Linked DNA regions of Drosophila melanogaster. The protein of the gene in region 1 interacts with the protein of each later gene in a pairwise test. Each region holds a gene or a part of one and is shown in the gene's direction. Other genes may lie near its edges.

Region 1 (5,626 bases):
GGCTATACGGTGATACTTCTACTGGCTGCTATTCAGTTCCAAGCAAGTGTAGTGTCCAGCACGACAACCAAACCGCCATCGACATTGGCCACATCCACGAAAGCTAGTCGCAATGTGAATCCCCTGACGGAGTCGAAGCTCGAGAAGAATTGCAAGGCGCTGTGTGAGCATTGCGGCTGTTTGGGCTTCTACTGCGGCGAGGAGTGCCTGTGCGAGTGTAATGACGACCAATCCGATACTGAGTGCATTCGCACCATGCAGATGAATGCCAAGACGTTGAATCTACCATTCGAAATCGTCATCCAGGGACCGAGCAGCAATCGCTTTGTGCGCAACGCACAGCAGTTCGAGCAGAAGCGAGATCTGGTGGCCAGGAGCGCCAGCACTTCAATGCAGTCGCCTCGAAATCGTCGCTCAAACATAACCATCTACAAGCCCTCCACAAAGTTGGTCATTCAACGTACGGCCAATGGCTTAGAAACGCCATCCAAGGCTTCGGAGCAGATAAGGCACAAGAGGTCCGTCGATCACCTGGAGTGGTTCAATGACTTTGCCAGTTCCTTGGTGCGTCCCTCGCCACTGGGCACTAGAGCCCAGAAGCAGCAGCGTGCATCAGCCAAGCCATCGGCATTCAAGCGTCAGGCTGAGCTGGAGGAGCCGGCTCGTCGGGAACCATGGTTCCTGGAGCAGTCAGCTTCGCGACTGACTCGCCCCGCTCCACTTAAGAAGGATGCACTCTCGCGGAAGAACAAGAAGAGTCCTTTGTTCCGAAAGAGCGCCAAGAGCAAGGCGTCCAAGGAGCAGTCGCGCAAGCAACCGGAGCGAGAGATTCGGCCACTCCGCGATGCCTTGCAGGTGGTGGAGCGGATACCCAAGGTGCTTCAAGATACGGTCAGTCATCTGTCCTCCGATCCACGCACTGGGGATGTCTTTAGCCTGAATATTAGAAACGAGGATGTGCCGCAGAAAAAGGATCGCCAGCCTGAGGATCGTGTGCCACGCAGGCCTAGCGCCACCTTCCGTGGTTTCCGGCGCAATGAGATCATCCCCGAAGCCGTCACCCTGGCTGCCCCAATGGACCTTGCCCCACGAGCTCCACTTCCCGGCCAGCGTCCAGGTGGACTCCTGCTGCCCTGGCTGAGGCAGCGGCGACTGATGCGTTTGCAGCAGGCACAGGGAAATCTGTAGACCCAACATACCCAATTTACTTTCACTTTTATTATTATAATCATTTGTTGTATATTTATAAGGCATTTTGGTCTCTCAAAAATAAATATAAATTTGCACATTATAGTGTTCTGCAGTAGCAGCGAAGATAGAAGCGTTCGAAATTAAAGTATCTGAAGTAGTAAGATCTTTATGTACCTGTAACAATATGAAGGCGTTCTTAAAGATCGTTTTCCAATGAGTCATTATAGTATTCACACACGCAGGTAGAAGTTTGGTAGGTTAGACAGGTTTCTATAGAACTCCATTCTTCAGTTTCCCTATTATTTCAATTGGATCTCGAATCGAATCTCAAAGATACATCTATTCTACTGATGATCTAGTATAATAATGATAATTTGAAGAAGGAGTATTGGTGTTACATGGATTGTGGATTGATAACAAGTTACTATACTATGCTTAGGAATATTTTGCCTGAATAGAAAACCCTTGCGATCTATCTTACAGATGCCATAGATTTCGGAGTATCTAAGTAGCATACTTTCGGGCGCGGGTGCTATCTGCCGTTGGCTCCTCTCTCTCTTCGGGCAGCTCCATCACGCTCTGTGGCGACGCGTCGTCCGATTTGTTGGCAACAGGCGCTGCCGCGTCAGTTCAGTTCAGTCCGTCGCGTTCGTTCATCTCCAGTGGTCGTCGCTGTTCCGCTGCAACAGGTAGTTAAAAAGACATAGCCCGATTGGTAAAAGGTGCATTACCCGCTGGAAGCCCCACAAATAGGATGCGCGCGGTAGGGGGGTGCCCTTGAGTTCTAGATGCACAGAAAGATACATGCACGCAGATACAGATACAGATACAGATATAGCCATTGGCAGAGGGAGAAAAGCGCTTTCTTTGCGTTTGGTTAAATATTACAAAAATCGAGTGAGAGGAAGCGGGAGAGCGAGAGTGAGACAAAGAAAGAGTAATTTAAAAAAAAACAAAGAGTGCATGTTTCCATTTAATTTACATAGTTTTGCTTCAGTGTGTGACGAAAAACAAAATACAACTTAGTAAGCTAAGTAATTTGAAAATCAAAGCAAGGAGTGCAAAGGCAAAGTAGCTTAACGAAAAAAACAATAGGCAGCCAAAGATCAACGGTCGCTATCTCATATCTAGTATCTTGTATCTGAAAGATGTGTGTGTGTGTGTTTGGGTACTTCGAGAACGAGAATCTGGCGCTCAACTAAAAAAAAAAAGAAAAAAAAAAAACCAACTGCATCAATTGGCAATTGGTATAATCAATTAGAAATTGATTTGCGACGGAGTGATCTTCAACCAGTGATGATTTGATTGATGTAGGAAGTGGACAAGTCTGATTGATATGGCTAATCGCTGCACTTGTTGCACTATCGAAAACTAAAGTTATAACAAAATGTTTTTATTTCGTACCCTGTACTGGGGCGAATCAATTTCTTTTGCTCTGATAAATGAAATCATGTAATAAACTGACGTTCTGTACGAACCTTATCATGCCATATAAACAAAAACAATGGCATACTCACAGTGATAGTGGCTCTTACTAAAGAAAAACGACATACAGACACCCGCACATGGCAACGAATAACTACAAACAGCTTTATTTCGGCACCGATTGCCTTTATCTTCCGCAATTTGTGTGATAAGTTCAGCAAACTGTTTTCCATATCTGTGGTTTTTTCGGAGGAGGATAATCACGCGACGTCTGGCAGATAATCCACTCCATCCATATTCAAGTAATTGAAGGCACCGCCGATTAGAGACATACTCTACTCTGAATCATTAATAGTTACAAGACTTTAAAAGCGTGTCTAACAACTGACACATCGATTCACAAAAAGCTCCATAAAGAAAAAAAAAACTCATTCGAATCCATTTACAGAATGACTCAGTGGCGGTGAAATCCAGCAAACACACATCCATCGCAGCCAACCAACCCATCAAACATCACAGCCAAGCAAACCAATTATGGAGTTTGCCCGCCGAGTTTCCGCTCGCTTTGAAACCAAAAGACTGCCGGAGGATGTGGACGATGGCCTGGAGACGCTGGAGGAGTACAAGCAGCGCTGGCGCTCCGTCCGCATCATCTACTTTACGATGTTTCTGATGGCGCTTGGCTTCAGCATCATACTCACAGGCATTTGGCCCTACCTCAACAAGGTGCGTACCCATTTTGGTCACGCTATCCAGCTGCTTTTCAATCTCATCTCTCTTCAGCTAGATCCCGATGCGGGCAAGGAGTTTATGGGACTGATTGTGGCCGCCAATCCGCTGGGACAAATGATCTTCAGTCCGATCTTTGGGTGGTGGGGCAACAAGCTGGGCAAGATTCGTCTGCCACTGCTGCTATCGCTGTCTCTATTCACGCTGGCCAGTGGCATATACTCCTCGCTGGAACTGCGTCCGGACAATGTGAAGTACTGGATGCTCTCCTCGCGGTTCCTCATCGGTGTCAGCTCGGCGAATATTGCCCTGTGCCGCTCCTATTTGTCCGCTGCGACACGAATCAGCGAACGCACACATGCCGTTGCAATGGTTTCGCTGGCACAGGTCCTTGGATTCATCATTGGTCCAACTCTGCAGGCGGCAGTCACACCGCTGGGAGATCAGGGACACGTCTGGCTGTGGGGCAAGATGCACTTCAACATGTACACGGCATCCGGATGGATCAATGTGCTGATGAGCATTGGAAACTTCATGATGTTCCTGCCCGGAGTGTTTGAGGTGAGTGGCCAGGTTACTTGGTTCGCTCTAAAGTGTCATTAAATTTGAACACTCCTTCAGGAGCACAAAATTGCAGCTCGCGAGGTGATGGTGATGCAGGGCGGCACATCCGAGAAGGAGACTTGGAAAGGCATCAAGCCCAGCTATTTATCCGCATGGACTTTGATCGTCGCCTTCTTTGTTCTGGTATTCAACTTTGTGCTGTTGGAGACGTGAGTAATCCTCAGAGTGGGTTTTTTTTTTTTTAAACTATTGCTTCCTCGCCTTGCAGTCTGGGCACATCCCTGACAATGGATATGTTCGCTTGGTCCAACGACGAGGCCCTATGGTACATGGGCATCATGATGACCACCGCAGCTATTGTCTCCCTGGTCACGTTCGTTTTGATTGAGCCCATGTGCAAGATTATAGCCGAGCGTTATGTGCTCATCTGGGGCGGATTCTCGCTGATGTTTCTCGGTCGCGTGCTCTTCGTGCCTTGGGGTCCGGATCCGCCAAAGTTGGCGCAGCCATTCAATGCCAGCTGGAACCTAAGCGAAAGCGATCCCATCTTCTTGGGCTGCCCCACAACGCAGAAATGGTGCGGCGAACTGCCGGCCTTGACCTTAACGCAGTTCATCATTGGATTTGCCTTCACATCGATAGGATATCCCATTGGGGTGACTCTCATCCAGACCATATTCTCCAAAGTTCTGGGACCTCGGCCGCAGGGCGTCTGGATGGGCTGGATGACCGGTTCGGGTTGTCTGTCCCGCGTCCTTGGTCCAGTCTTCGTGGGATCCATCTACACGCGCCTAGGTACGTTCTGGACCTTCGGCGTTACTTCGGCCATGATGCTGGTCTCCATGTTTTGGCTACAGTGCAGCAAGTAAGCTGAAATACTATTCGTTTTTAAGGCGGTTCCCCACAATAAATAACATGTTATCTTTTCAGTCGATTACTAATCCCGCCAACATTCGAAAAGACCACACCTGTCGAGCTGAAAGAACTGAACAAGCACAATGGTAGCAAGCTGCTGGACGACCACTCACCGGACACGCACAATGGTAGCCCACCGGAAGATCTGTCTCCTGATCAGCCCATTTTGGGCAAGCACGGCAGCCAGCACTCGATTTCACATGCGTAACGACGGCTGGCTATGGAGCATCCGTAGATCTAAGACACATCGTTGCAATACTGCCCCTTAAACTAGCTTTAAAATACAGTGTTTATTTTTGCACAGTTTCGACTGATTATGCGTTTATTGGTACTACGGTTGAATGTGTAGAGGTTGCACGTCGTTGTCTAGTTCTTTTTTTTTTTTGGCGTGTTTTGCATATAGGGAGGATGCTTAAACACGTATTTCCATCTTCTTGTTTAAGTGTACGAGTAATGGTTAGTTTGGGTTTAGTAACATGTATGTGGTTTACCAAGGCGGCAGCCACAGTTGTGAAATTGTCGTCGGCATCAGCATGTGCTGCTGGTGTGCTTGGTGGTGATGGTAGTAGGCCGCCGCTGGCGACCAGCAGAGCAGCCAGCAGTCCACAGGCGCCGTTCTTCGATTGCTGGTCGTGTGGTAGAATGTGTGACCCATTGGCAGGGGCATGGGTAGTGCAACCGCTACTCAGCTGCTGCCGTGATAGTAAAACTCATCTCAGTAGGGCGCATATCTGCGACCCGGCGGCGATGGACCGCGCATTCCGCGCGACGAAATCATGCGTTCGTCGAATGCATCGCGACT
Region 2 (9,028 bases), on another chromosome or scaffold:
TATGCTCAAACTAGGCCACAAAAATTGTCTAAAAATAAAGGAGGAAATGAAAATGAGGTCTTTTGGGTTCGGGAAAGACCCCAGTTTTTTTTTTTTTCGTTTTCAGGGCGTGTACGTACCGGCTCCAAAACGAAAGTGAGGTTAGGAACGTGTGCGGATGCTGCGGCTATTTGAACTGAACTGGATTTATCCGGGATGGCTGGGAAATTCCTATTTGCTGGCTGTAATTATTTGTTTGCTATTTGGCATCACACTCACACACACACGTTACCAGGCATTTCGCGTCGCGATTGCTTCCTTTTTCTAACAAATAACTATTTTATTTTTCCCTTTGAACAGCCTTATGTCGTTTAGTGGGGGAAATGTACCGTTTCCTTCGGCGGAAAGAAGAGAGCAGCACTGCTCGAAATGCGAAATGTGACTGAGGCAGAAAGAAGAAGCTTCTGGCGACCGAGCCGCCTGCGATTCTCACCATTAATGCCGCTCTCTCTCACCTCTCACTATGCTTTCTCCTTTCTCCACCCTCTGCGGTAACGGTTGTTCTCCCTTTTTTTCGGTGGTGCGTTAACGGCAATACAAACACGCTCTCTTTCGCTTTCTGGGGGCTGATATTGCTATGATTTTTCCACCACCTTGGCCGTTTTTTCTATTGAATGAAATCCACTTTGGTCTAGTTCTTCTTCCTTTCCACTCCTGTGCTTCTTCTTGCCGCTTTTCCTGCGCCTGCGTTGGACAACTAAAATAGGCGATTGTTGGGCAGCAAACACAGAAACTGATTTCTTGCACTTTCGCACATTTCTGCCGCACAAATATTCAACGAGGCACTCAAATCACTGCTTGCTGCGATTTCAAACAACCGCCAGTGCTGCCACCCTGCTGCTAAAGTAACGTTGCCATTGCGCGGGAAGTTCAAACAAAACCATTGGAGCATGTAAACTGGTTGAAACCTACTTCCTTTTAATACATTAGAGTGGATGGGAATTAAAAGAAATCAATAAACAATTTCAGGTTACGCAAGTCATATTTATTTTTATTTTCTTGAACATTAATCGTATATCGTATATCAATTAAACGTTTTCACAATTTCACAAAAAGAGTTAACATTTTCATTTAATTTATTGCTGTTAATTATTGTATGAAAGCTATGTTTTTCCCACATTTATCTAAGAATATATTTGATTACAGATCTCTATTTTATAGGAATCTTGATGTCACAACCTTCGGCAAACCAAATATTTGGACAATAAGCAAGGTCGCCAGCCGATTGCAGTGCACGCAACATAAATGTGAAAATCAAAACATAAAGGAGACAAAAACAAACCAAAAATGCATTGTCATTTGGGGACGGCGGGGCCTTAAGTTGTCGGATATATGGGTAAAGGGGTGTGGGCTGATGACTGCCCTGCCACTCTGCATATTAATCAACTTTAAAATACATTAAGATAAATGAATAGGGAAACATTCAGGTGGAAATGTTCAATGCTCTTAAGGGGGAAATAATTGATATATCACGAAAACTATAAATGAAAACGGTTAATACGTGCATCTAAGTCATAATACTAAATTAATTAACACATCTAATAACCCATACCGTGTGAAATTAACTTATTATTAAAAATGTTTTAAAAATTATATTTAACTTATGAAAATAAATAAGAAGTAAAGAAAAATTTGCATAATATCTGATTATAATGGTTTTAAGATGTTTTCTTCAAAAAAAATCCAATTAAAATGTTGTAAGCAGCTTGAAGCTTCTCGGATATCCCAAATCCATTATTATTTTAGCTTACCCCTTCAACGGATCTTCAAAAAGGGTATTACCGGAGACAAGCGACTTTAAAACGATAACAAATAGGTGAGACATCGGCAAACAGACAAACAAACAAAAACGAATATGAAATGAAAACCAACGCCAAGCTCATTACTCATGCGCACTGGATGACGTCGTTTTTGTGGCCCAAAGGGGGCTTTTGACCAAACCCCAACTCGATTGCTCCCCAAGATCCCCCATCTTCAGCGCCACTTCTTAGCCTGCTCCACTGCAACCGAGTTGCGATGACGGGGCATTAAAAAATGTGAGCGAGCCATGAAAAATCGCAGCTAGTCGACATGACTAGCGGCTGACTAAGTGGAAGTGCGATTAACTAACAAGAGCCTTTTTGCGGTTTTCTGCTACCGAAGTTGGGTGTTGAAGTTTATTGTAGGGAAATTAAATTAAAGACACGTTGGCAGTCACTTTAGATTGATATGATTGAAAATTGCATGGCTAATGATCCTAATCGATTTGCATGTGGCTTCGGCTGAGATGCTCATAGAGTTGAGGTAAAATGTGCAAAGGCAAATAAAAGTATTTCGTATCAGCATTCAAATGGACAACAATGGGTAATTGACATTCTTTTCTACAGAGAAAAAAAATATATATACCCATGATATTTTACCTTTGACTTAGTTATGATGTTTTAAATATCTGATGAGAAGAATGCAATAAGATTCACAAATGTGTAGCTGATAAATTTTAAATAAAATTTAAATTAGTAAAGGTAAAATTATACCTATTATAGCCCACAAATTACCAAAGGTTTAGTAACAGTCTATTATAGCGGCGGTGCTTTCAACATATATATTACGTATTATGTTAATTCAATAGATTGTATTCGTTGAGGTTCTTCCCTGATAGATCAAAACAACACGATTGTTTGCGTTGTCAGTTTCCAGCTGCGGTTTCCTCTTCCTTATAATTTTTCCCATTCGGCCCTTCTCTCAACATTTTGACCACATATGACCACTTTTCATTTGCGTGTCCCCCAAATTATTGCCAATTTTGACAATTCTTTTTTTCGGTTAGGCGAAGAGTCGTAGCCCTGCACACACCTGTAATTACAGGTGTTCAGGTGTGTGTACACCCGAGACGCTTTGCCTCGGGAGTTTTCGGCTGCTTAGGCCCAATACTCTGGTTTCGGTATTTACCATTTTATGATGTTGGCTTTTTACCAACATCTAGGTCAACTGCAATTGAACCCGTCGGAGGGGAAAGAGCTTAGAAAGCTTGTCTCTGCAAATAGATGAATTAACGTTTAGCTGACAGTTTTGTAATACCCCGCCCACTGATTTGCATTTCGCGCTGAAGTTATCAAGGGGCCATCACTCAATTACCCCCAACAAGTCAGTTTTGCATAATTAGACAATTAATATCGTGATTGGCAACACCTCATGCGATCTACCGGTAATTTTTCTACCTTATAATGCCCTCATTGACACCAAAATCAAATTATCAAAATCAGCAGAATATCGTATGTATCGTATGTATTACCTGGCCGCAATAAATTCGAGATGTCAGCAAAGTTATTCTTGTGCCTGCAAATAAAAGAACAGGAAGCAAGGTAGCAAAGTGAAAATTTCGCAAAATTTGCTGCAATTCAACAGGGGACTTTGTTTTCAAAATTGTTGAATATTTTTTGTGGAGCTCCAGCTAGAGGAAAACTCTTTTTAATTCGCGTATAAATTTTATATGATGTGCACGTGTACATCTTTAAAACACATTAATTTTATCAACGACCATAACATAATAATATTGTTATAGTACTATTATGGTATTGTTAAACATGGCTATAAACTCCAATTAGGGTATTATTTGCTTCAAAAGCGAAAATTTTAAATTGATGTGCAAACGAAGTAAAGCACTGAGCACATAGATATTTTACATAGTTGCACATTTCTACGACTCCATCATAAATATTTATAAGTATGATGATAATTCATTTAACCTGATAACGACTCTATATCCTAAGCTTTAGTTTTATTTGGTTCCTTGGAGTACTTTTACCCCTGTATTTTCGCTCAAGTAGCTAGCCCCCGCTCATTCCAAACCAAATGGTATTGCCAGATCCACTCAACAGATACCACGCACTCGTAATAGATCCAATTTGGAGAGACAGCTTTCTCAGTTACCAAAAAGTCAGACATCGCTGGCCACTCAAAGCTCTCTCAGCCTTCTTTTATGAATATTATTTTCGCTGGGTGCTGAGTTCGCGGCTTTTTGTTTCTCGGGCTGCCTCTTGATTATTTTCTGTTCCGATTTTCATTACGTGCCCCGAAGTCTTGGCGAGCTGAACTCGGAAACGCTGATACTCAGAAACTCAGAAACTGTGAAACTCAGGAACTGGCGAGTGAGTGCTTTTCAGCACTAGCTGCGATCGCATTACTTTCAGAGCCCGCAATCAGTCTTAAGTGAGCGTGCGTCGGCATTGGCAGCAAGTTGGCTAAAAGCGGATCCTCCTCAGTGGCCAACTTATCCCTCGATCTCTCTTTCGCCCCCGACACTATTGGTTAGTTTGCACTTCGCCTTAACATCTGTCCCACCAAGTCGTGCTCCAAAACTTTTAAATCAAGTGCAAAGTGAAACGCCCCACTGGGTGATTGGTGCAATCGATAATAAAAAAAAAAACAAAATAATAATATTAATAATCGCGATTATTGCAAATCGATTGCCAAACAATACAAGCGGAAGTGATGAAATAATTCTGATTGTCTAGAAAAGTGCGAAATAAACCTTAGTAATTTTGTTGGGCTCGGCTTGCGGAAAAACCATTGGAAAAGCTGCTGACTTATCTCTTTGATTTTCACTTAAATGTTTGTTTTCATAGCTTTTCCAGTTTCCTCGCTCTCAGCCGCTCTCTTTGCGTGAGTTAACCATGTGTATGTGTTTCGAGTTGGTTTAGATTTTCGCGACACCGATTGAGTAAGTTTTCCCATGCGGTTTTTCCAGCGCTTGCTGGAAAATTCATGGGCAGCAAAACAAACAAAAATCGTTGTTATGATTATGCGTTGAAGAATTTGTTAAATGCAAGAAGCTCGTATTAATGTTTAGTTTTATTGTCTCTGGATTTGACGCGTGGCTAATTTCTGTCAGGCACTTCTTCCATAATTTATTACGTTTTTTTTTGCGTGCCTGACATCGAATTTTTTAGCCGCAAACCGGTTTGCCAAACTCCTGGAAACACAAATAATTTAGACAATAGTTGTGTAGAATTTCTTAATGGGCATAACAAATAAGCGAGCAAATGTCAACTGTCCAAAATTGTAAGCAAAGTAACAAGCGCAAATGAAGTTCGTTTCTTCAGTCATTTGATTGAAACTCAAGTTTGTTTCTTCATTCTTTTGATTGATGCTATACTGCCAAGTTCGTTTCTGGAATCTTTGGTTTGCCTTTCAATGGAATTCAATTATTGAAATTCCCCACCGAAAAGAGGATCAATCAGCTTGCTTTGTTTCTGTTTATTTTGTGGAACTTTCAATGTTAAGGTCTACACAGCCATTTAATGCTAATGCCCAGCACAAGTGCGACTTGTTCGACGTTTTTTTTTTTTTTTTGTTGATTCGGTCTTTTATGGCGCATTGAATCGAATTCCCCCTTCGCTCCTTCGTCGCCAAAATGTTCATGCCTAGCATAAACAAAACAGAATTATTGTTACACATTTGGTTGCCAAGGCGGAAATCAAATAAAGCAAAAAGGCTGTCAAATAAAATCGAATTGAATGGAATAAAATCATAACAGCACATGAAGAGAAATCAATGGCGCGAACCGAGATGAGAGAGATCTGTTTGTCGTAAAATAGAAAGTGACCAAAATGGATCTTTGCTCATAAACAAAACCTAAAAATTCGTCACAGTTAGAGGATACCCTCGCGTCCAAGCCAAAGTTGCTCAGCTAACTTGCCAAATTTCTTATAATTTGTTCATTAGGGCTTTGCTTGGTTTTTGTTATCGCCTAGGGCTCGAAATGCGATATTTGCCATTTTAGGACTGGTAAAGAAATTTCCAAATATTTAATATGCAGAAACAGTTTGTATATACTACGGCACACACAGAGATACTTACCAATACGGGGGGGAACTAAAGACCCAGCTGGGTTTCAGTCATTTGTCTAAACAGAAATTACGAACAAAGCAAAACGCAGACGTAGCAAAATTATGCAAATCTTAGGGCACATACAGCCACAGCTACATCTGTAAATATTTATATATACTGTTTATCTATATATGTATATATAGTATTGTCCATGTGCTTCTCCATCAAAAATGCAAAATAGGAAATAAGCAATGAGCAAATGCCATAACAACAAGCATTTTTCTAAGTGTCCTATTGCATTTTTTTTAACGGATCCATTTAGATGTGATAAATAAAAAAAAATGTATAAAAATATGAAATTAGCACTTGTATCCTTATCAAATTTGTATTGCTGATGAGAATCATTGACTACAAGAAAAATCTGTGAAACAAATCAATTTTCAAACTATTTCAAGGTAAGGTCTTCTTCAAGGGCCCAAAAAAACTTTATAAGATATATGTTCTCAACAAGTTAGTGGCCCCATTTTATATAAGCCAAGAAAATGTCAAGTTCAACGATCTATTAGCCCTACCACCGACCATCAATAACTCAAGCCGTCAATCTCAAATGCACGATCTTAAAACCTGTTGGCCCAATCTAGCGAAGAACTTTAGGAGACCAAACAAAGGTTTTACCAATCAGCAATGAAAATATGACAAAAATGTTGCTGGGCCACAGCAAAATGGCGATGAATCTCTGTGACTCCGCCGCGTTCGAGGAAACTAAATGCAAATCATTTGGATGGGGGCCAGGCCAAGAGCAACCGAAACCAGTTAACTCTCCGATCAATTCAATGTTGGCCAAGCTGGCGGCATTCTGTCTCTGATCCGGAGAACTTAATTTGCATAATTCTGGGTTTTGGATCGGGCCACATGGCGGATTATTTTCGAAAGCGAAATGCCATTGAACAAAATGTGTTGAGTCAGGAAAAGTCAGTGCGGTTTTTTGGAGGTTGTCCGATCTGTCAGTTGGTCAATTACAAGCGAATCAATTAGCAACCGGGTGTTAGGCAGCGAAAAACACTGACATCGCGCCATTTTAACCACTTTGTATCTGTATCCGAGAGATCTGTTCGATGTTGATGATCCATTGGACTCATATGCATACGAAGACAACGCAGCACGACGATCTCTAGAGATCAACAGAGATTTGACCGTGACCGTGCATTTCGATTGAGCTGAGCTTTTTTTTTTTTGTTTGGCTGGCCAAACTCCGAAAATTAATGGTATTTGTGGGCCTATATAGATCTCCACCTCCTCTAACCAACGACAACTCCACTCGAGATCTCCGCCTGGGCGGCCTTGACACAAATTTGGAATCACACCAAAAATGTCCGAAATTAATCTCTCCTCCAACAAATCGTTACGCATTTCGTTAATTATGTTTTCCACCTGTACTCGATGCTTGGGCAATATGCCGTGTGAGATCTAACTACATTGGTTATACATACCTTGGTTTGATTTCTTTTTTTTAACTTGTCGAGGCTTTTCGGTTTCTTTTTTTTCGGATATACGCGTCATTTGCCATTAATTAGTCGAGCTATTGATGGTCTCGGTTGGAGCGAACAAAAGGCGGCATTGTGAATGGTTGTGCAGTTGGCCGGGAAAGTACAGTTAACAGTGTTGGGCAACGGCCATGGGTCCGATTGTGGCAGTGTGACAAGTTGAAAGTTTGGGGGTATTAATTAACGTAAGCTTAGCCACTCTAATCCACTTGGTGATTAAAGTAAAAGGTTAATGGGCCTTAAGTGTGGGAAAGTTGAAAGGGTTAATTAGCTCTCGAATTTTGTAGTTGGTTTTGTTCCCAGTGCTAGTCAACGTTTCAGTTTAGTGTTGGAATGTAGTGCTGGGATAAGTAAAGGTACATTCTATTACGAGTAATAGAAGTTATCTAAACTATTCCATAAATATGGGAACCCCTACTTTATCACGTCAAAAGCAGCAGTTACACGCGTCAACTTTAATTGCCATTACTAGTCGGAATTAATTACTTGACTTATAAAAAGCACGTTGCTCATTTGCTACATTTTGTCCATAACACTTACTACATCGATTGGTTTGCTGACTGTTGAAATATGTCGGTTTTTTGTAGATTCCCGAGTGGAATTTTCTTACTACAACCCCCAACTATGATTCACTGATTCGTTAATAGAATTCGTTCAACGTCAATTATATTAAATTTTACTATAATATCCCAGAACTCTGCCAGGAGCTCAGCAAGTATTCATTTTCAAATATTAACTCTGGATAAAAAGGCAATTCACAACGCTATAGTAAAATGAGCTCCATTTATGAGCTGCTGGCCCTTAAGAAGTTGCGCCAGGATTCGCCATTAGATTTGCGATGAGATCCCATGTAGGCACTGGGTCCGGCGATGGCGGGCGGCATATCCATCTGGCCGGAGTAATTGAATACGGGAGTAGAGGGACGGCTAGCGGGAGCACGGCTCTTGACGACCATTCGGAAACGGGGCGGTTCCACGGATCGACGCTCCTCCTTCCTCTTGGGCTTCTTCTCTTCCTCCTTCTTGGGCACCAGCCCTGGCATCTGAAGTGGTTGCCCGTTGTCCTGGATCGCGTCGAAGTCCTGTTGCCATAGAGCCACCTGTTTCATGGCAAACTTGTGGTACTGCTTATCGATGCCAGATGGTCGCCGCTTTGGTATCATCACTATAGTCTTGGCTTTCAGTGCATACACAGGTGGGGATATCTGATGGTAGCCGCGTCGTTGGTAATCCCTTGGATATGCAGGCGGAATGCCAACCACCTTCTTGCGCTTCAAATGTGGCTTCACCTCCTCTGTGGTCTCCGACTCCCGGGAGCATGGGCATGTGTGCCACGAATGCCAGTGCTCCGCCTCGCTCTCCTCCTGGCGCTTCCTCAACCAATCGGCAGTGGGACGATTGGAATCGTAAACCACTGTCTGGCTGTCTTGAGCTTCCTCTGAGCTCTCTGTATTGCGTCTTTGGCGCTGGTAGTCCTCCGATTCCCTTTGCATATCCTCCTCAATATACGTTTCCTTTCGCTTAACCGGACGATAGGTAATGCCGGAGGTATTAGTTTCCCTCCTAGATTCCGGACGATTTTGCCATCGACGGCGATTCTGTTCGATAATCGCCTCCTGACGCCTTTGGTGATCGGCC
Region 3 (7,124 bases), 4.0 Mb from region 1:
TTAAATTCTGTATAAATTCGATTAAAGTTTTATAACGAGGCTTTTAAAACTCATTGCTTATTAAACGTGGCTCTGAAACTAATTAACTTGGATTACTACTCGCTTACTCTTTACTCCTTGGCCGCAACGCAAATGGTTTTAATATTTCGACTCATTACGGATCGTTGATCCGCACCCAAAAACCACTTATTTAATGATCTGACAATTGTAAGCCAAGCCGTATTATGAGCAAAAGGCTTGCCTTGGCATCGACATGTGCTAACGTGATTTGTTTAAATTTTCTTGACTTACTCCGTCTGTGAGTTAATTTGTTGTGATACATTCACGTTATATCGTCACATTTCGGTTTGTATTTGTGCATTGGGTTGTGTGAATTATACGCTTTGTTCATTTACATTCCGGTCACATTGTGTGCATATTTATCGAACGCTTTGCGAGGTGATTATTCTGCCAATAGCTACAGATTCCCTGCAGAAGCCAGCTACACTGTCGAAAATAATAAACTAACATAGGATTTGATGAGTGCTTTCGTTATGTTATCTTAATACAGTTTAAATAAAACAATACATTTCCATTTATCACAGATTCATTGAGGAGGAGCCGATTCACGAGCCTGAACTGCTTGTCATCGTGGGAGCCTTGGGTCTTCTGGTGAATGTTATTGGACTTTGTCTGCTTTACGGTAAGACCAAGTAATACAGATAAGAGTAGGCCGTTCTTTAACTTCATCTGCATTGCAGAGCACGGCGGTCACCATGGACACTCACATGGCGGCGGACTCACCCGTAACCACAGCCGCCTCACTGAGTTGGCCAACATGGACGAGGGCGAGGATGAGCAAAACGACTTTGCCTACGAGAAGCAGAAGGAAAAGGCACCGGTCAAGAAATCCAGCCATGGACACAGCCATGATCCCGGCCAGATGAATATGCGCGGCGCCTTCTTGCACGTTTTGAGCGATGCCCTTGGCAGCATCATTGTCGTAATCAGTGCTGTGGTGGTGTGGAAGACGGAGTGGAAGTACCGGTACTACATGGATCCCGCTCTGTCCATCGTTTTGGTTGTTTTGATCCTGCACTCCGTGTGGCCGCTGCTGCGCGAGTCCGCTTTAATTCTGCTCCAAACGGTGCCCACCCACATCCAGGTGGATGCCATTCAGAAGAGGCTTCTGGAGAAAGTTGATGGCGTGCTGGCTGTGCACGAGTTCCATGTGTGGCAACTGGCCGGCGACCGCATCATCGCCTCTGCCCATATTAGGTGAGATTTACTTGTTAAAAGAGTAACTGCCTGTTTAAAAAGAAAAATTAATTCTATAACCATTTATAAATCAAATTAATGCAATCTAATCCATCTCTCGTAAACCTTGTAGGTGCCGTAACCTTTCGGAGTACATGAAGATTGCCGAAAAGGTGAAGGAGTTCTTCCACAACGAGGGTATCCACTCTACCACCATTCAGCCAGAGTTCAGCGAGATCGAAGGCTGCAACATGTCCGATGGCACCTCCAGCATCAACATCAGCGGCTCCGACTGCTGCGCGTTGGATTGTCCTACCACGGAAGAAGGATGTGTCAAGGCCACGTGCTGCCAAAACAACAACAAATTGGTGAGTTCATCTAGTCTAATGGGAACATGTAGAATTGTATAATGAAGTATAAACCTTAATTACAGAACCAACTGCCCTCACCCACCAACTCGCCGTATCTGTGCCGCCAGCGGAATGCCGCCCGACAGGCCGGCGATGTGGAGGCGGGTTCCCTGCTGGAGGCCACGTCCAGTGGCAACCAGGGAGCCACTGGTGGGGCCAGCACAGGAGCGCCCGTGGCTGCGATAGGGGCCACGTCAACGCCGAAGAGCGATTTGGTTTGACGACAGCCACATCAGGCGCAACAACATGTACACTTTGCCACGACCAAAACGGAAACCGCAACCGCAACAACAAAGGCCGCCACAACAGCAGCAGCAACATCAATACGTGATATAATGTACGAGCCACGCGCCAACAACCTAGTGGTCTCCAGCGCACAGGTGGACGTCAATCTCGGCCTGACGGTGACCGCCCAGCGGCGACGGGAGCTTCAGTTGCAGGCCGAACAGCAGTATCAGGAGCAGGTGTCACCACTGAGTACCAGGAATGGCGACGAGGTGGCACTCTAATTAGGAGCCTAGTTTAACGTTAATTGTGCAAACCGCTGCAATGGAGACTGGTCTGCCATGGTGCAGCTTTCGTGTTTTTTTGTATCATTATTTGTTCTTAGTGGAATTTAGGCGTAAATGAGAGTGGGACAAGTTCGGTCGATTGACCATTGAGCTAGTTTAATTAAAGTGAAATCAAAAATGAAAATGAAAATGAAGAACACGATTATCTATTAGTGCGGGAGACACAAAGTTTAAAGGAACATGCTGTTCAGGATGTCATTCATATACTATATAGTATGTTAAACCTATTCGATTGTAGTTAATTGCATTAGTTTAGATCGATAAGTGAGCCCAAACAGCAGAGAATACATATGTACTACGTTTTTTACATTTTGAGAAAGTTTATACATACGTGAAATAAATTATTGTATTCAATAGTTACCCACGGATTAGCAAATGACTAAAGACAGTTTACAAAATACATAGGTATACACGCATTTGTGTTTGTGTATGGTTAGACATAGTCCCTAAATCTTAGTAGTTGTAATGCTATATGTAAATGTTTTTACCACAACCGAGAACCTAGTTTCTATTTAATTTTAATCGTATCGAACTTTATAATGACTATACATTTAATGCAAACATCATGTATTATTTTATGATCTGCATTAATTTTCAGATGTATATGTTTGTAAATAAACGCCAAACATAATTAGACCAAGCGAACTAACTGTATACAATTTGATAAAATGCCTCTTTGGAGTCGAAATTTTCGATACAATCAGGGGTCACTGGTACTTCCTGATTCCCTGATTCATTTTATCGATTGCAGCAATGGGCAAGATTGCGAGCTCTGCCTCGAGTTTCTTGGAAGCTTATCGAATTCAGATAGGAGCACATGTGTGACATCAAAGTTGAGGCACCTAGCCACTGAGCAAATGCATCACAAAAGATTTTGAAACGTGCTAAAAAAGATTATTGGAAATGCATGGAGGTGGTGTAGTCCTATATAAGCGTCCCCACAAGCTGTCGATACCAAACGTCTTCGAGAACTCAAGTAAAGTACCAGACTCGTTCGGAACATCAGTTGCAATGGTGCAGATCAAATTCCTTTTCGTCTTCCTGGCTGTGATGACAATTGTTGTCCTGGCCGCCAATATGGCTGATGCCGATTGCCTTTCCGGCAAATACAAGGGTCCCTGCGCCGTCTGGGACAACGAGATGTGCCGACGTATTTGCAAGGAGGAGGGACATATCAGTGGCCACTGCAGTCCCAGCCTGAAGTGCTGGTGCGAAGGATGCTGAATCCATACTATATCCATTTGAAATGTGTATATTGAATATTTCATTCTAAACAAATAATATATAAATATAAAGGCCTCTTACGCTTATCACTCATACGCACTGTTGTCTTTTAATTTCCTGTATGGCAATGTGTTAGGAGAAGTGAATGTTTACATACATCATTAAATCGAAAAGATAGCAATTCTAGGTAAATAACTTATTATGATAACGATGCATTTTTAAATCAATGAAGTTGACACATGGCACACATAAATCAAGTGTTTCTGGAAAACTAGGATTATATCGGTTATTGTTAGCTTGAATTTCCGAGAAGCTTATCGATTGCTACGATCAAATAAAAAATCTTAAAATCTGTATCTCTATATAAGCGTCCCCACGAGTGGTCGATGCCAAAAGTCTTTAAGAACTCAAGTAAAATTCCCGACTCGTTGAAAACATCAGTTGTCATGGTGCAGATGATATTCCTGTTTGCTATCCTTGCTGTAATGACCATTGTCCTAATGGAGGCCAACACTGTTTTGGCACGTGATTGCCTATCTGGAACTTTCGGAGGTCCTTGCTGGGCCTGGAGTGGAGAAAAGTGCCGCCGTCTCTGCATTGAGGAGGGACATGTCAGTGGACACTGCAGTGGCGCAATGAAGTGCTGGTGCGAAGGATGCTAGATCCACTGCAGTTCAAAAGTGCATGCTGTTTTTTTGTTTATTCTGAGCCAATAATAAATATACTGTACACCGCACAGTAAAAGGCACGTAAGCATTGCCTTTCAGGAGTTATCTCTTGATTTGATTTAATATGTATGTGGTAAGTATATTAAACAAAAAGGTGCATCAACATCAAGAAGGTATAGCAATTCTATCATCCCAAAATAGCGATGCGCGTTTTGTCGCGTAAAAGGCCCAAAAGTATGCCTTTCGAAAGTTATATTGCAGTTATTTGCATTTTCACCTTTATGCTAATCGGTTAATATACAAATTCTGTACCTATATAAGAGTGCAGTCGGACTCAAGAAACTCAAAAGTAAAGATTTTAACCAGAAGAACATTCTAATAATGGCTCAAATTAAAGGATTGTTTGCTCTCCTCGCTGTGGTGACCATTGTCCTAATGGTGGCCAACTCGGCTTCGGCCGTGGATTGCCCATCTGGAAGATTCAGTGGTCCTTGCTGGGCCTGGGATGGAGAGCAGTGCCGTCGCCTCTGCAGGGAGGAAGGACGTGTCAGTGGACACTGCAGTGCCAGTCTGAAGTGCTGGTGCGAACAATGCTGAGGATCCTCATCGTCCAATATGTTTGACACATATGTGTGTCATATGTTTTTTATTGTTTTGAAAAGAAAAATAAAGAATATACTTCACAGCAAATAATACAGTTTTATTTCTACTTAAAGAACGAATCCTTTTAAAATCATAAATTTACTTCGAAAATGAGATTTATAATGGAATGGAAGAAATAATTAAATGATAAATAATCAGAGTTAACTTCAATAGAAAGCTAAAATTCATTTAGAAAGAAGTGGAATATATAATTCAACTCATAATAAGCATTTAAGAAAAAAAAAGCATAGACTATTTCAGTCTTAACAAGAGTTGGAAAGGCCATTTTCATTTATGAACACAAATCTTCATTTACCAGCACCCATATCACTTTATGGGAAATAAAGATAATCTTGTCATGTTAATATTTCCAACAAATTATCAACCGTGTTACATCGAAAAGTGCAAGTTTGGTGTTTGAATCCGGTTCTGGGTTTTCCTAACAAACTCGACAGTTTTACAATTTATGAATAAATTTAATTAATGAAACTGGTTTAATTAGTTTCCTAGAAGTCTCGTGATAAATGGCACATTGCATAAAATCAATGTCGGCAGATTATTAATAAGCCATTTTTAATTTTCCATTAGAAAAACTACGCATTCTTACTCAACTGCTAACTGAGAAGATGGCAGTGAAACTTTTTAAAAAGAAAACGAAATTTCATGCGACTTTTCTTAGACACTTACCGTAATGATCATTATCTCGAAAGAGAATACTTTTTGAAGTCAGTTTTCGTTGTCTTATCAGCCCTAAAGTATGCCCTTCCATGAAATACAATTCAATAATTATCTCCAATTATCTGCCAATCAATTCCAGAAATACGACGAAGCTGGCAGAGAGATCCCGATCCCTATATAAAGCGGTTGCTGGGGGTTTGGACTCATAAATCAAGTTCGAATTGTTCCGACAGCAGCACTCTGATTCAAAACCGACAACATGCAGATCAAGTTCCTGTACCTCTTCCTGGCTGTGATGACCATCTTCATCCTGGGCGCCAAGGAAGCCGATGCCGACTGTCTCTCTGGAAGATACGGAGGACCCTGCGCCGTCTGGGACAACGAGACCTGTCGTCGGGTGTGCAAGGAGGAAGGACGATCCAGTGGCCACTGCAGTCCCAGTCTGAAGTGCTGGTGCGAGGGATGCTAGGCCATCCTTCAAGGCGCGTTGCTCTAAATTGCCGGAAAACTACTAAATGTTATAGTTTGTTGATAACTATAAATAAATATTAAATATATTATTGCAACGCAAATGATTATTTCGTACTGGTTCAACTGTGATACTAACTATGTGATACTAAGGTATTTAAATGTACGTACAAAGGACGGATAAGGATTGTTCCTTAAAAATGTTAATATTAACTGATGACGTACTCGAAAAGGTTTTCTTCTATTCTTATTCATTACAAAATATATGAATAAGTACATATAAATATATTCTCAATTAAAACTAGCTAACACCTTAATTCTCTGACTTAGTCTGTGAAGTATTGAAAATTTAACGATATTTTAAAATAATTTGTTTTTATTCAGATTGTAACATGCTTCAAATACTGCTTAAGTTATTCTATTTATAGGATGAATAATTGCAGAAAATAGAGCGCTGCGTACAGCGATACTATATGATGTAATCTGGATTATTTATCTCTCAAGAATGCTTACTGAAACTGTGGAAGTAGCTTGCAGGACAGCATGCATTACATAGATAGGTAAAACGCAGAATACTAAAATAATTAAATCTCTGGTTAGACTAGGAACTTCTGGGAAACCCAAGGGCGTGCACTTAATACAGATGTCACTCATCCATATTCCATAGTCTATTATTAAAGCAATTGCTTCAATTTATTTGCGTTAGATAGGGTCAAATATATTCAATGTATGCTCATGCGAATGTTTAATTGTTATCTACGAAACGGGTTTTAGTCGCTGACGATAAATAATCTTTAACTAAATTTATTTTTAGTCTGAGTAAAACACAACCAAGCCAAAAAACTCACCCTGTTAATTTAACTCCATTATCTTTCAATTGAAAAACCTTTGCCTTAAGTTGATAACAATTTATTTAAAAAGCCATTCATAGGACCAAAAGAAAGTCCCCTAAAAATTACACAAATTTAAAAGTGCTATGGTTTTAAACACAAAAAGTATAATTTATTAAAACGCTACTTACAAACTAACAGATATAACATGATACAAAAGATTAACATCAATGGCTTGGAATGAGTTTACAAAGTTATAAAAATAAGCGTGCAATGGTTTAGCGATCAGTGAAGTGCTCCTCGACGTCGCCGCTACCCAGTCGTGGCGGCAACTGTTCTGAGAAGCGCAGCTGGCGCTATAAGTTCCCATCCAGGTTCTCCTCGGTGTTCTCCTCC
Region 4 (8,412 bases), on another chromosome or scaffold:
TAGCCGGCTATCCTGGCAGAGGAACACCCATCCTGGGAATCAATCAACATGACACCGACATCAACGGAGTGCAGTACTCGGTTCTGAACTATGCAGCTGGACCCAATCAGTATCTGGATGAGAACGGACAGCGCATTCCTTTGGACGATATCCTTGGCTCGGACGACGCCATCACCCCCAGCTACATTCCCAAGGATCAGGGCGTCCACTCCGGCGAGGACGTGGGCATATTCGCCTCCGGACCTCAGAGTCACCTCTTCACCGGAGTGATGCAGCAGAGCACCATTCCCCATCTGATGGCATATGCTGCGTGCATTGGAAGCGGAAAGCAGGTCTGCGACAACTAAGAAGGCAGAAAAATCTGTTTTCAATGTTCGCCAACAACTTCTTTCTGTAATAAAAATGTAGCACACATAATGAATGTGTGTATGTTTTGAATTAATTAATTAAGATACTAGAATGGGTAGTCTTGAAAAGCCCTATGGAAAACCTGGTCCATGGAAAGAGATTTTAATCAATATTGCCAATGAAGACATAGACAAAATATAACCCCAAAATATAACCTTCAGATCTTTGTAGGCTTGGGTTCAAAAATTAAACTATGGCGAGTGTTGCCATATGCTTTTGAACTGGTAGCCAGCCTATTGGCTGAATTACCCCTTATAACCATAAACCTTAATGACTTAAGGATTGTGTAAATATAAACTGAGATTTTTCGGAGACAGTTAAGCTATCTGAGAATATGGCACGAAAAGACGACAGTTAAGATAACATTTATCTTATATGAGTCTACATTTAGACGCGTGTAAAACGTTTTATGCAATCTGAACTATATCCAATATGTTGAATAATATTTTCGATAATTTCATCAACCAATTCAAAAAGAGAAATTTTGGTTTAGGGTTCTGGGGTTTCGGGCTCTAAGTTGTTGTTCTTTATAGTGTGCAACCATTTCAACAACAACTTGTTCACGCGACACGTTTCCTGTAGATTAGGCTCGTGAGAGTTGGATCATCATGGCCAATATCTTTACGAACGCAAACGTGACTAAACTAATTCAGATAGCTGGAATAAACATTTGCACAGGTGATCTCAGCACTTTAGGGATAATAAGCTCAGCCAAACGAAAGTCGAGTGATCTCATAACCCATTACTATTACAACGGGTAGTGGTTTTATAGAGGGATGGTCATGTCACTTACAGCTGATCTTCCTAGAAGTCGGGAGTACCAGCAGAGATAAGTCCAAGGGGTATAAAGTGGGAATAAACCTAATTTTAGGTATTCCTTGTTTTGAATGCAATAATCCGGTGCAGGGCATATAAGACCTGGAAATTAGACGGGATCGTTGTAGTTCGTTCGGTATCACTGCAGTTGTAAGATGCACATCTCCCAGAGGCGCTGCCTTTATCCGATCTTTCTATTCCTGCTGGCCTTTGTTGGCACAGCACTCGGTAGAGTCCAGGAAGTGCACAATGTGTTGGAGTTGACGGGTCAGAAAGCCAGCAAGCTGAGGTTCTCCACGGACGTGGCCACGGGCAAGTACACTCCGCCGGAGGAGATGGATCCCCAGTTCTGGTACAAGCTCGCCGACGAGGAGATCGCCAAAAGGCTTCAGCTACCACAGCCCAACTCCGACAGGGCCAAAAACGTGATAATGTTCCTCGGGGATGGTATGCCAATTAGCACAGTCACAGCTGCTCGCATCCTGAAAGGACAACGCCAAGGAAACACTGGGGAGGAGTCCTCACTGAGCTTCGAGAAATTCCCCTATTCGGGATTGAGCAGAGTGAGTGTTTGCATAGTACCATAGACCAGTAGTAATGATAGCAAAAACAAACCTTAACCTTTTTCTTTATCATGGTGAAGTTCACAACGTGTGCCAGGACCATAAAATCCCCACATAAGTGCTTTATTCAAACAAAAATATTATCTTTACAGACCTACTGCGCCAACGCCCAGGTTCCCGACTCAGCCTGTACTGCTACCGCTTATCTGTGCGGCGTTAAAACCAACATTATTAATATCGGAGTAAGTGCAGCAGTAAACTTTAACAACTGCACCGCCAGCCAGGATCCCGCGAACCGCCTGACCTCCATTGCGGAATGGGCCCAGAATGCCGGCAAGTCCACGGGATTTGTGACCACCACCACACTGACCCATGCCAGTCCCTCTGGAGCATATGCCAAGACGGCCAATCGAATGTGGCAAAGCGACACGGATGTGACCAGCTATGGAGTGGATGCCAGCACCTGCGTCGACATGGCCACTCAACTGGTGACCCAGACGCCCGGCAAGAACTTCGAGGTCATGTTCGGCGGCGGAATGGGCAAGTTCCTTCCCAAAACCACGAAGGATAGTCACGGGAAATATGGCGAGCGATCCGATGGCGTGAATCTGCTGTCCCGGTGGCAAGGGCTCCACGATAAAGGTGTCTTGGTCACCAATCGCAAGCAGCTGCTTAACTTAGACGTTTCAGCTGCATCCAGCATAATTGGTACCTTCCAATCGGGCTTGATGGACTTTCACATGGACGCTGATCCCACCTATCAGCCCACTCTCTCGGAACTCACCGAGGTGGCCATCAAGAAGCTCAGCCACAATGAAAATGGATACTTTGTGTTCATAGAGGGTAGGTTCTTCTTTGAAAGTATATACCTCTTAAATATATACACTAACAACAAGTTTGAATGCATTTTAGGTGGCCTCATTGACTACGGCAACCACTACACGCAGGCGGGATACGCCTTGGATGAGGCCCTGGAGTTCGAGAAGGCCATTCAGTTGGCTCGTGAAATGACCAACATCAGTGACACGTTGATTGTGGTGACCGCTGATCACGGACATGCCGTCAGCATAGCCGGATATCCTGGAAGGGGTACACCTATCCTTGGACTCAATCAACACGACACAGATATCAACGGAGTGAAATACTCGGTGCTAAACTACGCAGCTGGACCCAATCAGTATCTGGATGAGCATGGCCAGCGCATTCCTTTGGATGATATCCTTGGCCCCGATGACGCCATATCACCAAGCTACATCGATAAAGAAATTGGAGTGCACTCCGGGGAGGACGTGGGTATTTGGGCTTCTGGCCCGCAGAGTCACCTTTTCACCGGAGTGATGCAGCAGAGCACCATTCCCCACCTGATGGCCTACGCCTCATGCGTTGGTAGTGGAAAGCAGGTCTGCGGGAGCTCAGGGCGGAAAACCTGAAAGATACCATGGAATATATTCTACTGTAACTATAGGAGATTTGAAGTAATCCAAAAGACAGCGCATGTCCTTTCTTTAGTATTAGGCTTTCTCACATTTTAATAAACCGTGTACTTATACTAATAATACATTTAAGATTATTCTTCTACCCAAGAGTTATCACGATCTTTTCGGTAATCTTATAGTAATCACAGTTATGGTGGCATTTGGACGCAACCAGTCCCATTAGCTCACCTTGAGTGTGGGATAGGGTCAGTTTGCATGGTTCAAACTCTTGGTGCCGTGCCCACTTTTGGAAGCCACGGGTATGTGCTCGCAGCCCATTGGTCTAGAATTTTGGATGGTAGCTGGGTCTATTGACTCAAAGGCCATAAAATATTCATAAACTCTAAAGACCAAAAGACCATGTAAATATGAAACCATAAAGTGAGATTTTTTGGGCGCGTTTTCACTGCGGGGATTATGCCATGGAGATATGGCTAACTAGATAACAGAGATCTGGAAGGGTTAATAAATAGCCTTTTGCAAGAGTGTGGCAGTAGTTCAATCAGTTGCCCTGAGCGAACCTCATCTTTCTGAAAATGAAGACTTTCGTAGCCATTAGCCTGGTGTTATGCACCCTGGTGGCCACCTCCTTGGCTGCTTCCATAGACAGTAAGTGCAGCAGTTGGACCCTGAATTCTAGAGATATCTCACTGAATTCCCTTTCCAGTGCCCGAGATCCATAATCAGTTCCAGCTGGTGGGAGGATCGGTGAGCACAGCAAAAACCCGCGAAGGAAACCTTATCGACCCAAATGCCATGGCCAAGGGAAAACCCGGACCAGAGGAGGAGAAGAACGCGCAGTTCTGGTACGATCTTGCCTACGAGGAGATCGCCAAGCGCCTGGAACAGCCACAATTGGACAAGAGGAAGGCCAAGAATGTTATCCTGTTCCTCGGCGATGGCATGTCCCTGTCCACGGTGGCAGCCGCCCGCATCCACAAGGGTCAGCTTAAGGGCAATACCGGCGAGGAGGACTCCCTGAGCTTCGAGAAGTTCCCCTACACCGGCCTGAGCAGGGTGAGTGATATGCTCGGGATTTGGATTTGAATGAGATAAGTATTTAAATATATCTTTTCCGTAGACATACTGCTCCAATGCCCAGGTTCCCGACTCCGCCTGCACTGCCACCGCTTACTTGTGCGGTGTGAAGACTAATATCGTGGCTTTGGGAATTACGGCGGCAGTGAGCTTCAACAACTGCAGCGGCAGCGAGGATCCGGCCAATCAGGTGGACTCCATCGCAGCCTGGGCCCAGGCTGCTGGAAAGGCCACTGGCATTGTGACCACCACCACTCTGACCCACGCCAGTCCATCAGGTGCATATGCCAAGACCACCAACCGATTCTTCGAGAGCGACACGGATATTCTGACCTACGGCGAGGGACAGAACGATCCGGCCACCTGCACGGACATTGCCACCCAACTGATTACCCAGGCTCCCGGCAAGAACTTCGATGTGATGCTGGGCGGCGGAATTGGCAAGTTCCTGCCCAACACGATCACGGATCCGTTCAACAAGAAGGGCGAGCGTTCCGACGGAGTAAACCTGCTGTCTCGCTGGCAGGGACTGCATCCCGGCGGTGTTTTAGCCTACAATCGTAACCAGCTGCTGAGCGTGAATGTCTCGAAGATCACCAACCTGATTGGTACCTTCCGCTCGGGAGTGATGAGCTTCAATAAGATGGCCGATCCCAAGGAGGAGCCCACACTGGCGGAAATGACGCGCAAAGCAATCGAGGTGGTCAGCAAACGCGATGGTGGCTACTTTCTGTTCGTCGAGGGTGGACTCATCGATTATGGCAACCACTTCAACTCCCCAACCTATTCGCTCTCAGAGACGCTTCAGTTCGAGCAGGCTGTTCAGGAGGCTCTGGATATAACCGATCCCGAAGAGACCCTGATTGTAGTCACCTCCGATCACGCCCATCCATTGACCATCTCTGGTTATCCTGGCAGAGGAACCCCCATTTTGGGTCTCAATCAGGATGACACCGATGTGAATGGAGTTAAGTACGCCACTCTCAACTATGCAGTGGGAACCAATCAGTATCTGGATGAGCACGGCCAGCGCATCGATCTTACGGATCAAATTGGAGCGGAAGGTAAGTGAATTCTACTTTTGGGCGCCTTGATAAGTGATAAGCGAACCAATCTGCTTTCCTTCTAGACTTCATCCACCCCAGCTACATCCACGGCACTATTGGCGTTCATGCTGGCGATGATGTGGGAATCTTCGCTACTGGTCCGCAAAGTCATCTCTTCACCGGCGTGATGCAGCAGAGCACCATTCCCCACCTGATGGCCTATGCCTCCTGCATTGGCAATGGACCCACTCTCTGTGACAATGAGGACTAGAATTTTAATGAATCTATAATATAGAGTATTTGGAAAGCACCCTGCTCTCACTTTGATTTGATTCTGGGGGAGCACTTTGCAGAAATCAATAATCAAATTGGCCCGACTCCCGTAATTTATTGCACGAGTCTGCCGAATTGACTTCAATTTAAAACGCATCAGCGAAAAGACAGACACTCGCAGATGCAGATACAGATACAAACAAAGATTTAGATAGATTGAGCGATCGCATCGATTTGTTGCCAGTCGATGGCTGTCACTTGTGGGGGGTAAGGAATAAATATGAATTCGCTGAATGTCAGGTTCAAGCATTGGCATTGCCGACACTTGGGGATACGCAGATACACAGATATGCCGTAGATATATAGATGCACAGATGTAGATATATTGACTCCCACACGCATCTGGAGCAGCTCCTTCACTCGCTCTGACTTTGACTTGTAATTGTTTGCTTGTTTATGGGTTTGCGCATTCAACAGAATTTATTTAAATGCGCTTGACATGAAGTGAGTCGAGATGAAGGCGCAGCTCCAGACAATTAAGCTTAATGTTTTCTCGTTTCTTACGCAATTAAGGATCGCTCTGGCCAAGGCGGTGTCCTCGATCCCCAACGACTTCAATAACTCAATTATTCGTCTGCACACACAGAAAATATTCCGATTCGTACATTGAAATATTTAAATTGCCAAAAGAGGAACATATTAAAATGTTTATTGTAGCATTTGTTTAAAGTACTAAAGTAGTGATCTTGTTAGTGAAACTTATATTTTAAAGTAAGTTCATTCCAGCTCATTTTCGCTCGTGCCTTGTCCTTGTTTCGGATTACTTTGAGTCTTTATTTTGGGAATTTTTGTTGTTTAAAAGTTCTGAAAAATTCGCTTGTTCAACGATTGCTGGCTCAGCGAAAAGTGGAAGCCAGGGGTTCGTTTACTTAGTGTTGTGGTCGTAAAACGCAAATCGCTTGTCGGCAGCAGCTTGTCGGCTTTTAAAGTCGCGTCGTTTCCCCATTCGCAGTCCTCAGATCGCAGTTCAGTTTGCAGCTCAGCTTGGTCTGCTAACTTGGCTCAGTCTCAGTTTGGGTTCCAAATCTGTCGCGTGCGGATCAGATCAGTCTTTACAGTTTATGCCCGATTTGACGCTAATTTCAGCTGACTTTTCGTCTGGCTGGCTAATAGTGCGCGAGTTTATCTTTAACGTTTGAATCTCAGTTTCGGCGATTACCAACTGAATTGTGTGTGACAGGTGAGAATTTGTGGTAGATAAACTTACAGATAAACCGAGTCCAGTTCGAATTGCAACGCAGAGCAAGTGTTGAAATTGTAATTGAATGCGTGGCTCGGCGGGAAATCAATATCAGATGGATTGTCTCCGGATTTGCGGTTAACGAACAGACATTCGAGTCGGAAAACAACAACAGGAGGATCTCGTTCTGTGAGCTATATCAGTTGGCACTTGCTAATTTGCTAATTAATCAGACTAAGCAAACAGCCCTATACCGAGATATGACCTTAAATATTTGCTCTACTTTGGCCATTTAAGCCGCGCAATCCGTTTAGATAAAGAGCTAACCCATTTAGCCCAACTATTTCCCCTTTCGCCAGCGCCAGCTGGAAATTTGGACGGCAAACACAAACATTTATCAGAAATCTGAGCAAACTTGCATTTTCCACGGGACGCACCGCTAGAAAGTCTGGAAGATGCTTGTGCCACTTTGGGCCAAGATCGGGTCTGGCCAAAAGCGCTGATGGCGGTTCGTGGGTGCACAGCAGATGGAGATGCATTCACCAGATACGGATGCTAAATCCGCCTGAGTCACGCTATTTATAACAGCAAAAAAAAAAAACAACAAAATAATGAAATCTCCACCGACACGACTGCAATCGATCATCGCAGAGGAAAGCGGTGGGCTTTTGGCACCGAATTTTTACCTAAAAACCAAATAGACAACCTGGGGATTGCGTCTTATTTTCGATGTGCAGCTGGAATTCCTCCGGCGATGTTTACTTTGGGCATTAGCTTTTGCTGCCGTCAGGCGAACATGTTATTCTAGTTCTGTGTATTTTGCTCTACTGACCGTGAACTTGAACAAATGGAAATGCAAATGCAACCCATACAAACAGGCGAATGCACTATCCTTTGGATTTGAAGTTAAGTGCCTGATTCGGTGAGACTGAAGCTAGCGTAACCCCTGAGAAGTGTCAGGTATCAGTGGGCAAAATGTGACGATTCAGCTTTATAATCATGGATATATGTATCTCTATGTAAATATGGCTGGTCTCTAAGGTTAACCAGAATTCGGGCAGGAAGCGAATTGCTCGAGCAATCTGTAACGAAACACCATCAACAATACAAACCAGAGCAGCCAAATATTCAATATTATATAGTATCGCAACTAATCCCATAAATTTGTTAGTTTTCATCTTTGAGCGGACAAAGCAAACACGCAATCCGGTCCAGTTCCGGCACCTCCCCCCACCGAAGCCCCTACAAAAACAAATAACAAAAACAAACCGAAAGCAAGCACACCTGACAAAGGTGAGTGAGCAAAAACCCAGAAACATGGCTACTGGTCTTGTCCAGGTGATGTCATATTTATCTCTGTTCGCGGGATGGCTGGCGCTTCTGGGGCTGGGGATCTTGAACTGTGTAGCATAATGGCAGCTCCGAAATGAATTCCTCCTCCCTGCCATAGTTACGATCCTAACGTCGCCGATCCAATTTGCATTTACATAATTCTCAGAGACTTTACGACTCGTTAAGTATGTGCCACAACCCTCAGGCCTATTTGATTACCT

Evidence for each region.
Region 2: the proteins of Cln7 (region 1) and CG8303 interact in a two-hybrid assay, tested with the Drosophila melanogaster proteins (one large-scale study listed by BioGRID).
Region 3: the proteins of Cln7 (region 1) and Drsl3 interact in a two-hybrid assay, tested with the Drosophila melanogaster proteins (one large-scale study listed by BioGRID).
Region 4: the proteins of Cln7 (region 1) and Alp7 interact in a two-hybrid assay, tested with the Drosophila melanogaster proteins (one large-scale study listed by BioGRID).

What each region holds. Positions count from the first base shown.
Region 1 is NT_037436.4:7,341,384-7,347,009, reverse strand, and holds Cln7 (Cln7), read left to right. Parts: upstream 1-1,826; 5' UTR 1,827-1,880; intron 1,881-2,625; exon of another isoform or gene 2,626-2,918; intron 2,919-3,064; 5' UTR 3,065-3,150; coding exon 3,151-3,342; intron 3,343-3,399; coding exon 3,400-3,906; intron 3,907-3,966; coding exon 3,967-4,118; intron 4,119-4,177; coding exon 4,178-4,774; intron 4,775-4,839; coding exon 4,840-5,032; 3' UTR 5,033-5,126; downstream 5,127-5,626. Other genes in the region: CG14834 (uncharacterized protein), read left to right, coding at 1-1,188; lark, read right to left, coding at 5,540-5,626.
Region 2 is NT_033778.4:16,599,426-16,608,453, reverse strand, and holds the start of CG8303 (uncharacterized protein), read left to right. Parts: upstream 1-4,080; 5' UTR 4,081-4,166; intron 4,167-4,215; exon of another isoform or gene 4,216-4,325; intron 4,326-8,042; exon of another isoform or gene 8,043-8,175; coding exon of another isoform or gene 8,176-9,028. Other genes in the region: CG5089 (uncharacterized protein), read right to left, coding at 8,176-9,028. UniProt on the Drosophila melanogaster protein: Catalyzes the reduction of C16 or C18 fatty acyl-CoA to fatty alcohols.
Region 3 is NT_037436.4:3,311,146-3,318,269, forward strand, and holds Drsl3 (Drosomycin-like 3), read left to right. Parts: upstream 1-3,850; 5' UTR 3,851-3,888; coding exon 3,889-4,104; 3' UTR 4,105-4,210; downstream 4,211-7,124. Other genes in the region: ZnT63C (zinc transporter 63C), read left to right, coding at 585-682, 741-1,257, 1,370-1,604, 1,670-1,867; Drsl2 (Drosomycin-like 2), read left to right, coding at 3,230-3,442; Drsl4 (Drosomycin-like 4), read left to right, coding at 4,492-4,707; Drsl5 (Drosomycin-like 5), read left to right, coding at 5,690-5,899; PIG-C (phosphatidylinositol glycan anchor biosynthesis class C), read right to left, coding at 7,085-7,124.
Region 4 is NT_033778.4:22,200,937-22,209,348, reverse strand, and holds Alp7 (alkaline phosphatase 7), read left to right. Parts: upstream 1-3,755; 5' UTR 3,756-3,798; coding exon 3,799-3,871; intron 3,872-3,929; coding exon 3,930-4,279; intron 4,280-4,343; coding exon 4,344-5,364; intron 5,365-5,429; coding exon 5,430-5,617; 3' UTR 5,618-5,655; downstream 5,656-8,412. Other genes in the region: Alp8 (alkaline phosphatase 8), read left to right, coding at 1-347; Alp2 (alkaline phosphatase 2), read left to right, coding at 1,380-1,787, 1,940-2,630, 2,700-3,217.